Linked DNA regions of Callithrix jacchus. The protein of the gene in region 3 purifies or fractionates together with the protein of the main gene of each other region. This does not show direct contact. Links are inferred from orthologs where the notes say so. Each region holds a gene or a part of one and is shown on either strand. Other genes may lie near its edges.

Region 1 (3,645 bases), on a different chromosome or scaffold from region 3:
CAGCCTGCCCACAGCATCAGCCACAAGATGCTGACAGAGGCTCTGCATTAAAGAAAAAGACTATATAAAGGTAACCTCGAAATACGGCTCACTCTCTTATTTCTCAACTCAACTATAAAAATCAGATTTAACATTTCCCCCCCTTGCAACAATTTGTTTCTGCTGCCCTAGGATGCAATGCACCTTCAAGACATCACTCCCATTCCACAATTTACATCATAAGGGCACCAAGGGTGCCCGAGTAACCAATTCTTTCTCTTTTAAAAAAATTCCCAACGTGCTGAAAAGTAAATGGAAGCTCCTCGCCCTCCTTACCTGTAGCACGTCCATCTGACTTCCTCCTCTGGCAGACCTGCTCTCTGGGGAGGTCGGGGGCTGAGAACGCATATTTCTTCTCAGCTCCTCTAGGGTTAGCTCACGGGCTGAGATCTCTGCTTGAATTTTCTACAAAGAGATTGGAAAGGGGAAACAATGTCCTTTTTTTCTTAAGTATAAAAAGAAGCAATACAAAAGTTCTATATTGTTGTGTAGTACATAATGTTGTATTTTACATAATGTTGACCTCCATAGAAGCTTTAATAAGTTTTGTATGATAATACAGCACTGCATAATATGACTATTGTGTGTGATGCACATGCTAAGGTCCTTACACTTGTCATTTCTAATGTTCACAACTTATTTATAAGGAAGGAATTGTCCCAACTTCGTAGCGAAGAAAACTACTATTCAAAATATACAGGACTTTTCAACGGCACAATGGCTCACAACTGCAATCACAGCACTTTGGGAGGCAGAGCAAGGCAGATCACCTGAGGTCAGGAGTTTGGGACTAGCCTGGCCAACATGGTGAAACCCTGTCTCTACTAAAAATACAAAAAATTAGCCAGGCTTGGTGGCACATGCTTATAGTCCCAGTTACTCTAGAGGCTAAGGCAGGAGAATCACTTGAACCCAGAAGCAGAGGTTGCAATGAGCTGAGATCGCACCACTGCGCCTGGGTGATGGAGTGAGACTCCATCTCAAATAAATAACAAAATAAAATATATAGAACTTTTGAGAGAGTCTCACATAGAAAGCGAGAGAACTTCAAAACCTAAATGCTGCCCCATAAGTAAGGTCAATCTTTCCCACTGACTCTCGGTTTTGGATGGCAAGAGGGATTTTATTATAGTTGGAGAGGCAATTGCATATGCTCTGTTTACATCTTGAAAGCCTTCAAATTCATAGCAATACCTGAGCTTCCTGTGGAACTTGGAAAGCATCTATCCTGTCAGTTAGGTACGTGGTGAGCTGTTTGTCCAGCTCCCCCAAGCTCTCTTGTAAGACTTGAAGCATGTGGTCAGTTTCCCGCAGGACCTGGAGTTGCTTTTCCAAAGAAATCTGCTTGCTCTCTGCCTGCAGAGGAGAAATTGAATCATTAGTTGCTCAGTGCAAATATAAATAGCTGAATATATATGTTCTGGCCACTAAGAAAAGACTATAAAAGCTTTTGTTCAAGACTTTACCCTTCCTATAAATAAATAATAATTACTAATGACAACAGTGAAAATGTCCTACTGGGATCTTATGTACCATTCAGCTGAATTACTAATTATTACTTCTTTCTATATATAATGACGAAATACAAAAATGTAAAGTTTCACATAAGATGCATTAAACAGAAGACAAAAATTTGTTATTTATTATAATTTTAAGGAATTTTTAGGAGTCATCAATGTCTACCAATAAGAATATAAAACATAAGAAAAGGCCGGGCGCGGTGGCTCATGCCTGTAATCCCAGCACTTTGGGAGGCCGAGGCGGGTGGATCATGAGGTCAAGAGATTGAGACTATCCTGGTCAACATATTGAAACCCCGTCTCTACTCAAAATACAAAAATTAGCTGGGCATGGTGGCGCGTGCCTGTAATCCCAGCTACTCAGGAGGCTGAGGCAGGAGAATTGCCTGAACCCAGGAGGCAGAGGTTGCGGTGAGCTGAGATCGCGCCATTGCACTCCAGCCCGGGTAACAAGAGCGAAACTCCGTCTCAAAAAATAAATAAATAAATAAGAAAAATGTCTGTAAATACAGCAAACATCAGAGTCTATTTTTCTAAAGTGTAAAACAAATTCTACAGGTGTACGTACATATCAAACTACTATGTACTGTACTTTGGGGTTAAGCTTGATGTTATTCATTGACTAAACACCAACAGTTATTATTTAATATGTGTTTGGAAGCACCTAATATTCATACCCAATCTTCCTGTAAAAGAAGTGTTCTTTCTCAAAGTGTAATAAGAATATGTAGAAGTAATATCAAAAATAATTTTTTTAATCATCAAGCTCTGCCTTTCTTAAAGTGTTAGATCTATTCTCCGCTCCTGAGTACTTCAGTACTCTCAATGCCCCTGTTGGCATTGGTTACCAACTTTAACCAACATTAAAGATTTTTCCAACATTAAAGCTCTATGATATGGAGCTCAGGGCCAGCTCCACTTCATCAGTACCTAATCAACACGCATGCATGTCCCGACTCTTACCAGGTGACTCAGCTCTTCGTATCGGCTATTGAAAGCCTCCAGTTTCTCACTGATTATATCATCCAGGATCCCTCCATCAATCAGAGTCTGGCCAAGCTCTCGAATCTGGGTGCGATTATCTGCCGGGTGGCGCAGAACAGATTCCAGAGACTGGACCAAAAATGGGGAAAAAAATAGTGCATTTACTAAGGCCAAAGGTATCAAGGATCCCCAAAATGTCTAATTCTTAAACAACTAATTCCATTTTCTAAAAATCTACCTAAGGAATAGGACCAAAAATTAAGTAAATTACTAATTCACAAAAATATTCATCATGGTATTAAAAAATGCATAAAATTGAGAGATTTGCACAAGTGATATATGATGATATAATTCCACAAAAATAATTTCAATTATTTTTAATTATGGGAGGGTAAGGCAGGAATATCATTTGAGCCCAGAAGTTCAAGGCTGCAGTGAGCTCTGATCATACCACTGCACTCCAGCCTGGGCAACAGGGTGAAACTATGTCTCTGAACAATACATAAATGAATGAATAACAAAACATGAAAATAACTATTAATTATATGGGGAAATGCTCATGATATGACACAGTTTAAAGGCAGAGAACAATGCTATACAAGCAAAATTATCTCAACTTTTATTAATTATATTACTGAAAATAAGTATTCATTTTCCTACAATATATGCCAAATAAGAGGCACTATTTTATATATACACTTTTTATATACATAAATCTAATTAACCACATCAGCTAAATCACATTCCCAGTTTACAGATGGGAAAACTGAAGCTCAGAAATGTTAAATAAGTTGGCAACATACACAAAGTCAAAAGAAGAGCTGAGATTCCAACATGGCTCTAAAGCCTTTAAGACCGTGAAGGCTGGCCAAGCACAATGGCTCACACCTACAATCCTAGCACTTTGGGAAGCCAAGGCAGGTGGATCACCTGACGTCAGGAGTTCTAGACCAGCCTGGCCGACCGGGTTAAAAAAAAAAAAACCCATCTCTACTAAAAATACAAAATTAGCTAGGGTGGTGGCACACGCCTGTGATCTCAGCTACTCAGGAGGCTGACGCATGAGAATTGCTTAAACTCAGGAGGCGAGGTTCCAGTGAGC
Region 2 (4,209 bases), on a different chromosome or scaffold from region 3:
ACTTGCTATAAAAGAAAATAAAAATTCCACAGAACTTGGATGGAAATCAATAAAAAGGTTTTCAATGCATGGGAAGATCTTCAAGGCTTTTCTGTTCAAATTCAGAGGTGAACAAATTCTAAGTTAAAAATGTATGCTGTCAAGGTCCCTGCAAGAAAATCTCAAGCTAATTTCAATTTCCATATCAATATATACTAAGACAATTTACCAGAGAAACCTTCAACCTTTACTCAGGTTGAGGAACACTATTATTACATTCTTTAACAATAAGACTAGCTTGAATTCATTATTTCATGTAATGGCATTTTATAATTGACACTGAGCAAGTCAGATTTTGTAGGATATGAATGAGATTTCACAGTTCATAGTAGTTAGATAGCCACAGAGTGCCTATCACCTCAAAATTAGCTTGCTGCCCCTCTTTATGCAGCTCTGAAATAGCCAGAAAAGATGAATTTTCTTCTCCCAGGGGTGTTTACTGAAAATATTCTATCAACTACAAATCAGTGGAATACTGTTAATGTGATGATGACCATTTCTTTTTGATATCCAAAGAGATCACATCATCATCCTTCCCAACTTTAAGGAATCAGAACTAGTTACCAAAACTGATTCAGTGATGGCTATTTTCCATCTTCACAATATAATTAACATTTTAATCTCACATTTTCCAATTATGAATTGCTAGTTTATTTACATCAGCTATAACTAAGATGCAACAAATATTATTCACCCACACATCCAGTCATTTGGAGGCTTTTGGAAAACACCTAATTTACCTTTACTGGGTGCTCTTAAGAATAAGGAAACCAAGGAGATTTTTGAGACATTTTTCTCTCCAAAACTGTCCTATTCACATGTGGGTACTGAGCACCTGAAACGTGGCTGGTCAGACTGGAAAACGGATTTTGAATTTTATTTAATTTTCATTTATTAAAATTTAAATTTAGAAAAAGGTACTTGATTCGGTTATTGGAAAACTTTTATATATACTGGGAACCACTTGGGTATGTGAATCTACTTTTGCAAATGCAGATTTTATGAAACCTAAATACAGATTACGAATTTCTGATGAAAATTCAGCTTAAGTGTCAGAATTGAGATGTGCTGTTAGTGTAAAATACACACTGGGATTTCAAAGACTTAGTATAAAACATGTAAAATATTTCGTTAATATGTTTTCATATTGATTACATGTTGAAATGTTTCAATCTACTGAGTTAAATAAAATATTTTATTAAAATTAGTTATACCTTTTTTATTAAATGTGGCTACTAGAAAATTTTAAATTATAAATGTGGCTCATAATACAGCTTTTGGACAGTGCTATTCCAAAACACTTCCACAACCACTTTAACAGGACACATTTGGATACTTTCCTTTTAACAGTCTGGCTGATCATGTAACAATAGGGCAAGGAGTAACATGTCCTCATATCAATTGTGTCTGAGTAAAGTGTGTAGCAAGCTCTATCCACGATTTCACCATGAGAGGCAACACTGTAATACCTCAATATGGAAAGAAAAAGAAACAAATTAGCACTCAAATTAAAATTGTGTACTGCAGACAACTTAAAAGAGAGAGGGCCAACTGCTCTAAGGTCTTAATTTCATTTCCCAACTGTGGACCTTAAAATAGACAATAAAGCACCGCTTCCAAAAAAAAAAATATTTCAATGGTAGCTCTAGCGATCCTTATTAAGCCACGGAATACACGCTGTGTTAGGAAATCAAGTTCAGATTGCCAGCATTTCCTTCACAAGCAAATTAGCAGGATTGTGCACTTGGAATACTGTTTGACAAGAATGAAAAGGAAACTATTCAAAATAGATTTAAGGAATAGACAATTAGATGAGGAACTGCAGATTTAATTCTCAATCAGCACTGTGATTAATCTGATTCCCTGCTTTTCCCTAGCGTAATTATACAACACAGATGAAAGGATGAGCATTTGGACTGTCAATTCTATATTCTAGACCAGCCTGGTGACTCAAAGCAGACGGTTCTACCATGCTAACCACCATCCCAACAACAGTCTAGGGGAGCCTCGAGCACTGATTGAACAGTCATTGCATAACGAGGCATTAAAAATTCGAATGCCCCCAACTCTTTCCACGTCTGTGTACACCAGGGGGGGATTTGCTGAAACTGAACGCACCCCGTCTTAAACGACCCCTTCCTATCCGGGCACGGGGTGTACACAAAGGCATCTGTCTAATATCCTGCACAATAGACACACACCCCACAACTAAAACCTTGGACTATCTCTCTCTCTCTCCACACAAGCAAAGGAAATGCAAGCTGCTCTTTTCAAAAATGGTCTATGGTACAAGCAAGGTAACAATAACCCTAACTGAAGCAACTATAAAATCGGCTGTGCCACGTCCCTATGCAACCGTCAGATAAAATGCAGGCAGCCGGCTCCACGCCTTACGGGGTGACCAACCTAGGCTCGTTGGCCTCAATGGATCGCTGAGAACCCCAAGGCCCCCGCCAAGCAGGAGCTCCAGGTACACGTCTATAAATACTCCAGGATGAGGAGGACGAGAGGGGAAGAGGGGAGGGCGGGCAGGGGGCAGGCCCCGAGCGGGTGCGGGAAGACCGGGGTATCACTGAAATGCATTTTTCCACACTCCCGCTCCCTCGCGTGGAGACTTACTTGCCGATCACCTCGCACAGCTCGTACACATCCTCGAACAGCACGTCGTCGTCGGCCATGGTCCGGAGGGGATAGCGGCCGCAGCGTGGAGGGCTTCGAAAACGGGGGTGGGGGCGCCCAAGAGCTCAGTGCCCAGCCCCGGGCTCGCCTCCTCCCCTCAGGACCCGCGAGCCCTCGGCGCCGAGGACGCTTGAGTGGGGCCGCGAGGCCCAGAGACTGCGGCGCCTTCCTCTGCGGACTACCGCCCCGGCGCGGGCGGCGGGGCCGGGGCGCGGGAGCAAGGGCGGCCCGGGCCCGGCGCCGCCCGCCCGCCCGCTGCTCCTCGCGCTGCTCGGGCCGCGCTGCCCGGCGTGCGGATCCTCGGGGACCGCGCGGCGTCCCGCTCTCGGCTCGTCAGCCCGAGCGGGCTGCGAGGCCACGACCGCTCCCTCTGTCCGAGACCGGCTCCGTCGCGTCGCGGAGCAGCTCGGACTACAGAGGGTGCCGCGGCAGGACCATGGAGGGAGGATCGTCTCGGAGGGAGGTGGCGGCGGCTGATCGGCGCTGGGGACCAGGAGGCGGTGGCAGAGACGCTCCCTCCTCTTTCTCCTCCTCCCGCAGCCGCCGCCGCCCGCCCAGAAGTGGGAGGGGGCTTCGCGGGACCGGCGCTCTGTGCGGGCGGGAGCCGCGGCTGCCGCCTTCTGCTCCGCCCCTCAGCCTCAGCAGCCGACCGACTCGCCAGCCCCGCACACCCGCCTCGCGCAGACACGCCCTCCTCCCCCGTCGCCAGCGCCGCTTCCAGAACCACAGGCCCCGCCCACACCAGTCCGTCGGGAGGCGGTGTCCCAGGGAAAAGGGAGCGGGCTGAGCGGCGCATGCGCGCGGCGCCGGTCGCGTCACGGCGAAAGGGCGGGCACTGGGATTCTAGAGGGCGCGGAGGGTTTGCGAGTGGGGCGCGCCGGCTGCAGCTGCTGAGGCGGGGCTTGGTTGGGGTCGTCGCCTCCGTGCCTAGCCGCGACCAAGCCGCGAAAGAGGATGGAGACAAAAGGTCCACGGCTGCACGCTCGTTGTCCGGCAAGAGGCACGGAACTCCGGCCGTTACCCCTTCTTTTGTAATCGCAGGGAGCCTTTCCCAGTTTTTTGTCGAGAAAAGAGGCAGGGAAAGGGTGCGAATGAATGAGAAGGCCAAAAGAGGTAGAGAGAGGTTGTCACTGAAGCCGTGCTTGGCAGCGGATGCTTTTAGTGCCACCCTGTCATTCCTTAATGAAGACGAGGGCTGGGGGTAAGGGTAGGTCATCCTATAAAAGGACTAGACAAAAACTGCCTAGGAAGGTGTGCGACAGCAGCACACGGTCATCTATGGAGACAGCTTCTCCCACGTTCTGGCCCAAACTCAGCAAATATCAATCCAGCGCTTACCCTCACTAGAGACAACCTAGAGAGAAACCAGGAAGGCAGGGACAAACTGCGACTTTAATCTCCTTTGTATATTGCCCCCAAACTCCCAACACCTACTCTGCTCTCTATATTGCCTATAAATGTTAGACTTGTCAGGAACAAAATGCAACTAGA
Region 3 (4,369 bases):
TTTCCATGGTAGACTCTAAAGATCACCCTCACCAATATGGGGAGGCAGCATCCAATCAGTTGAAGACTTGAATAGAACAAAAGGGCAGAGGAAGGGGGAATTCACACTCTGCCTGAGCTGGGACATAGATCTTCTCCTGGTCTCAGACTTTGGTGCACCTGGCTCTTGGGCCTTGGCATGGGGATGCGGACTTACATGATCCTCCCCACTCCCACCCTCACCCTCTTCTCAAACTTCCTGTTTTGTTTTTTTTTTTTCCTTTCATCCTAACATATTCTATCATGCACTCAAACTTTCTGTTTTTAGACAGGGTCTCACTTTTTCACCCAGGCTGGAGTACACTGGCGTGATCTTGGCTCACTGCAACCTCCATCTCCTGGATTCAAGCAATTCTCCTGCCTCAGCCTCCCTAGGAGCTGAAATTACAAGGGCCTGCCACCACACCCAGCTAATGTTTTTATTTTTAGTAGAGATGGAGTTTTCACCACGTTGGCCATGCTACTCTCAAACTCCTGACCTCAAGTGATCCACCTGCCTCAGCCTCCCAAAGTGCTGGGATTACAGGCATGAGCCTCCTCTATCAGGCCCCTTCTCAGACTTTCTTCCCTTTCTTTTTTTTTTTTTTTCAGTTTCATTCTTGTTGCCCAGGCTGGAGTGCAGTGGTGCCATCTTGGCTCATCGCAACCTCCACCTCCTGGGTTCAAGCAATTTTTCCGCCTCAGCCTCCTGAGTAGCTGGGATTACAGGCACTCGCCACCATGCCCAGCTAATTTTTTGTATTTTTAGTAGAGACGGGGTTTCACCATGTTGACCAGGATGGTCTCGATCTCTCGACCTCGTGATCCACCCGCCTCGGCCTCCCAAAGTGCTGGGATTACAGGCTTGAGCCACCGCGCCCAGCCCAAATGTTCCTTTTATACTGTTCTGGGGACATTTTCTGTATGTCATTTAACCACGTATTATCACACCTAGTTGGTTGGTTCTGTATTTTCCTTCCCCACTAGACCGCAGACTCTCAGCTGTTGCTGGTACTACTGCGCTTATCTACAGGGCCTCAGAAGGAGCCGGAGTCCCTGGTTGAGCGCTCAGTACACAGGGTGCGAACCAATCAGTGCAAGAATGAACGTGCCACCGGGTCTTGCATGCTTGCAAAGTGCTTCTCCAAGCTGATTTTGCTTTTCGTGCCCAGGCAGCTTCCGTGAATTGCACGGTAGAGGTCAATAGTTTCTGCGGGTCCGTGGGGAGCCAATGGAAGGAGGATGAGAAATGCAGTCCCACCGCACTCGGGCTGCCCGCGTCCGGCGACAAGCGAGGGATCCGACAGCTTCTGCACCTCCCGGAAGCGGCTGCGCCGGCCCCGCCCCTCGGGAGGTGGGCGTGGCATCATGAATAATGAATCGCGCCGGGGAAGGGCCGGGCCCGCCCCTCCGGGCGGGAAGGGGGAAGCGCTGAGGCTGCCTGACTGGAATGAGGGTAGCTGTGGCGACTGCGGCGGCTGGAGAGGGGCCGGCCATGGCGGTGTGGACGCGGGCCACCAAAGCTGGGCTGGTGGAGCTACTCCTGAGGGAGCGCTGGGTCCGAGTGGTGGCGGAACTGAGCGGGGAGAGCCTGAGCCTGACTGGCGACGGCGCCGCGGCCGAGCTGGAGCCCGCTCTGGGACCCGCGGCGGCCGCCTTCAACGGCCTTCCGAACGGCGGCGGCGCCGGCGACTCGCTGCCTGGGAGCCCGAGCCGCGGCCTGGGGCCCCCGAGCCCACCGGCGCCGCCTCGGGGCCCCGCGGGTGAGGCGGGCGCGTCGCCGCCCGTGCGCCGTGTGCGGGTGGTGAAGCAAGAGGCGGGCGGCCTGGGCATCAGCATCAAGGGCGGCCGCGAGAACCGGATGCCGATCCTCATCTCCAAGATCTTCCCGGGGCTGGCCGCCGACCAGAGCCGGGCGCTGCGGCTGGGCGACGCCATCCTGTCGGTGAACGGCACCGACCTGCGCCAGGCCACCCACGACCAGGCCGTGCAGGCGCTGAAGCGCGCGGGCAAGGAGGTGCTGCTGGAGGGTGAGTGGGGCCGGCCGACGGGGCGGGAGGGTGGGCGGGCCGCGGCGGCTTGGGCTCGCGGGAGCTCACTTTGTTCCTTCCCTGCCGACGGGGCGAGCCGGTTCTCTCCCCGTCTCTTCCCAAACCCGGGTTTCTGGAACTTAGAGTGTGGAAAAACGGATGCTTCTTGCAGGAAAAGTTGGGCAGCCGCCGAAGTGTGGCTTGCAGCCCCTAAGGAAGACTCGGCTGAGATTGGGCAAAAAGCAGCTTCCCATGAAGCTCCCCCTCGGCCGGATAAGCTGACACTAAGAACTAGAGGGAGAGCGAACGGCTCGAGTGGGTCTGTCTCCGTTTGCCCGCTGAGAAGTGCCGGGTTGGCGCTTAACTCACTCAACTCTGGCTCTTCGGGGCGGGCAGGTCTATTAAAAAAAGTCCAACACCGATGCCAGCGGTATACTTGGGCAAACCACCAAAGCGCTGGTTAATTTATGGGAATTTAACCCATCATTGGCTCTCAACAATAACCAAAGGAGATCATAGCACTTCATTGAAGCCAGAAAGCTGAAACAGCAAGTCTGTGTGGTTAATGAACCTTAACAGTGGAGGATCACGTGTTTGAACATTTACTGCCAACTAGAGTTTTGCCCCTTTTGCAAGAGTCTGCTGCCAGCTTCCTTCCACTCACAGGCGCGCTGCTTCAAGACTATTACGGCTTTTGTAAGAAACTTGAAATGGTAAATCACAAGATAACTTTCAATAACCAGGATTATTCTTTACATTAAGTTATATATGTGATTTGTAAGTTGGATCTTTTATGATGAATTTGAAGTAAGGCAAAAATAAAATTCCTCTCCTTTAAGGACTCATGCATATTGGAGGTGATAGAGTAAACTGTAAACGAAAAGTCAGTTGCTTTCTTTAGCAATTTTTGAGAGGTCAGCTTTCTTTCACTGGTGATTATTGCTAGCTGTGTTGAAAAGAATATGAAAGAAGATGCTGTCCCTTCTTGGTCTCTTATTGGAGAAATGATAGAAAAATGCAAAACAACTTATAGGAAGGAAAGGGATGAAGTTGGTGATTATGTCGTGCAAACTGTATTTAAGTCCCAAGGGAATGCAAAGTTAGAAAGTAGTTAGTAGAGATGGAATTAGGCAGGCAGGACTTTTTCCCTGAGCCAGTTCTCCAAGGAAGTGATGGACATAGGCAGGCAGGGATGAGTCAGGAGAGTATTCCTGGCAGAGGAAGACAGAAGGGAAGGACCAATCATCAAACCGAGAGGCCAGAAGTCCAACTTGGCACAATAATTTTCAGTTTCTTATAAATCAGCTTGTGAATATTTGGAAAAATACTGGTTTATCAGAAATGATTTCATGTACACCAGTTGTGAAATTCGTGTCCCACCTTTATAATATCCTATTTGTAAACCTTGTTTATTTTGGATGTCTAGGTGGGGCTAGACACGGCTCGGAAATTTAGTGTTAATAGAAGGAGTAAAATTATAGATTGTGGTTTGGGTGTGTCTAAAAAAATTGTTATTTTGGCCGTGCGCGGTGGCTCAAGCCTGTAATCCCAGCACTTTGCGAGGTCGAGGCGGGTGGATCACGAGGTCAAGAGATCGAGGCCATCCTGGTCAACATGGTGAAACCCCGTCTCTACTAAAAATACAAAAAATTAGCTGGGCATGGTGGCACATGCCTGTAATCCCAGCTACTCAGGAGGCTGAGGCAGGAGAATTGCTTGAACCCAGGAGGTGGAGGTTGTGGTGAGCTGAGATCGCACCATTGCACTCCAGCCTGGGTAAGGAGCAAAACTCCGTCTCAAAAAAAAAAAAAAAAATTGTTATTTTAAATGTGTGCCTTGAAATTGGTCTAGCTAAGCATTTGGTTATAAATTCTTATATCCAGAATATTGAATTTAGTACTATTTATGTAGTCCTCAGTTGAACCCTTTACACCATATTTTTTAAAAACAACACTTTTTGGCCAGGCGAGGTGGCTTATGCCTATAATCCCAGCACTTTGGGAGGCCAAGGCGGGTGGATCACCTGAGGTTAGGAGAACCCAGCAAAACCTCCTCTCTACTAAAAATTCAAAAATTAGCTGTGGGTGGTGGTGCACGCCTGTAATTCCAGCTACTAGGGAGGCCGAGACAGGAGAATTGTTTGAACCCGGAAGGCGGAGGTTGCAGTGAGCTGAGATAGCACCACTGCACTCCAGCCTGGGTGACAGAGCAAGACTACATCTCAAAAACAAACAAAAAACCCACTTTTTGTGTAGGTATAGTTTGAACATAGTATTCAGACCAGCAAAACGAAAACCTTGTAGTAAATGCTTCCCAGTATTT

The links.
Region 1: the proteins of SNTB2 (region 3) and UTRN purify together in Homo sapiens (affinity purification with mass spectrometry; 4 studies listed by BioGRID and IntAct, with this or other methods). This does not show direct contact. The link is inferred for Callithrix jacchus from reciprocal best matches to the Homo sapiens genes SNTB2 and UTRN.
Region 2: the proteins of SNTB2 (region 3) and CASK purify together in Homo sapiens (affinity purification with mass spectrometry; 3 studies listed by BioGRID and IntAct, with this or other methods). This does not show direct contact. The link is inferred for Callithrix jacchus from reciprocal best matches to the Homo sapiens genes SNTB2 and CASK.

What each region holds. Positions count from the first base shown.
Region 1 is NC_133505.1:151,253,448-151,257,092, reverse strand, and holds part of UTRN (utrophin), read right to left. Parts: intron 2,673-3,645; coding exon 2,523-2,672; intron 1,396-2,522; coding exon 1,234-1,395; intron 445-1,233; coding exon 316-444; intron 1-315.
Region 2 is NC_133524.1:42,784,886-42,789,094, forward strand, and holds the start of CASK (peripheral plasma membrane protein CASK), read right to left. Parts: upstream 2,853-4,209; 5' UTR 2,718-2,852; coding exon 2,659-2,717; intron 1-2,658. UniProt on the Homo sapiens protein: Multidomain scaffolding Mg(2+)-independent protein kinase that catalyzes the phosphotransfer from ATP to proteins such as NRXN1, and plays a role in synaptic transmembrane protein anchoring and ion channel trafficking.
Region 3 is NC_133521.1:26,737,898-26,742,266, forward strand, and holds the start of SNTB2 (beta-2-syntrophin), read left to right. Parts: upstream 1-1,450; 5' UTR 1,451-1,467; coding exon 1,468-2,047; intron 2,048-4,369. UniProt on the Homo sapiens protein: Adapter protein that binds to and probably organizes the subcellular localization of a variety of membrane proteins. May link various receptors to the actin cytoskeleton and the dystrophin glycoprotein complex.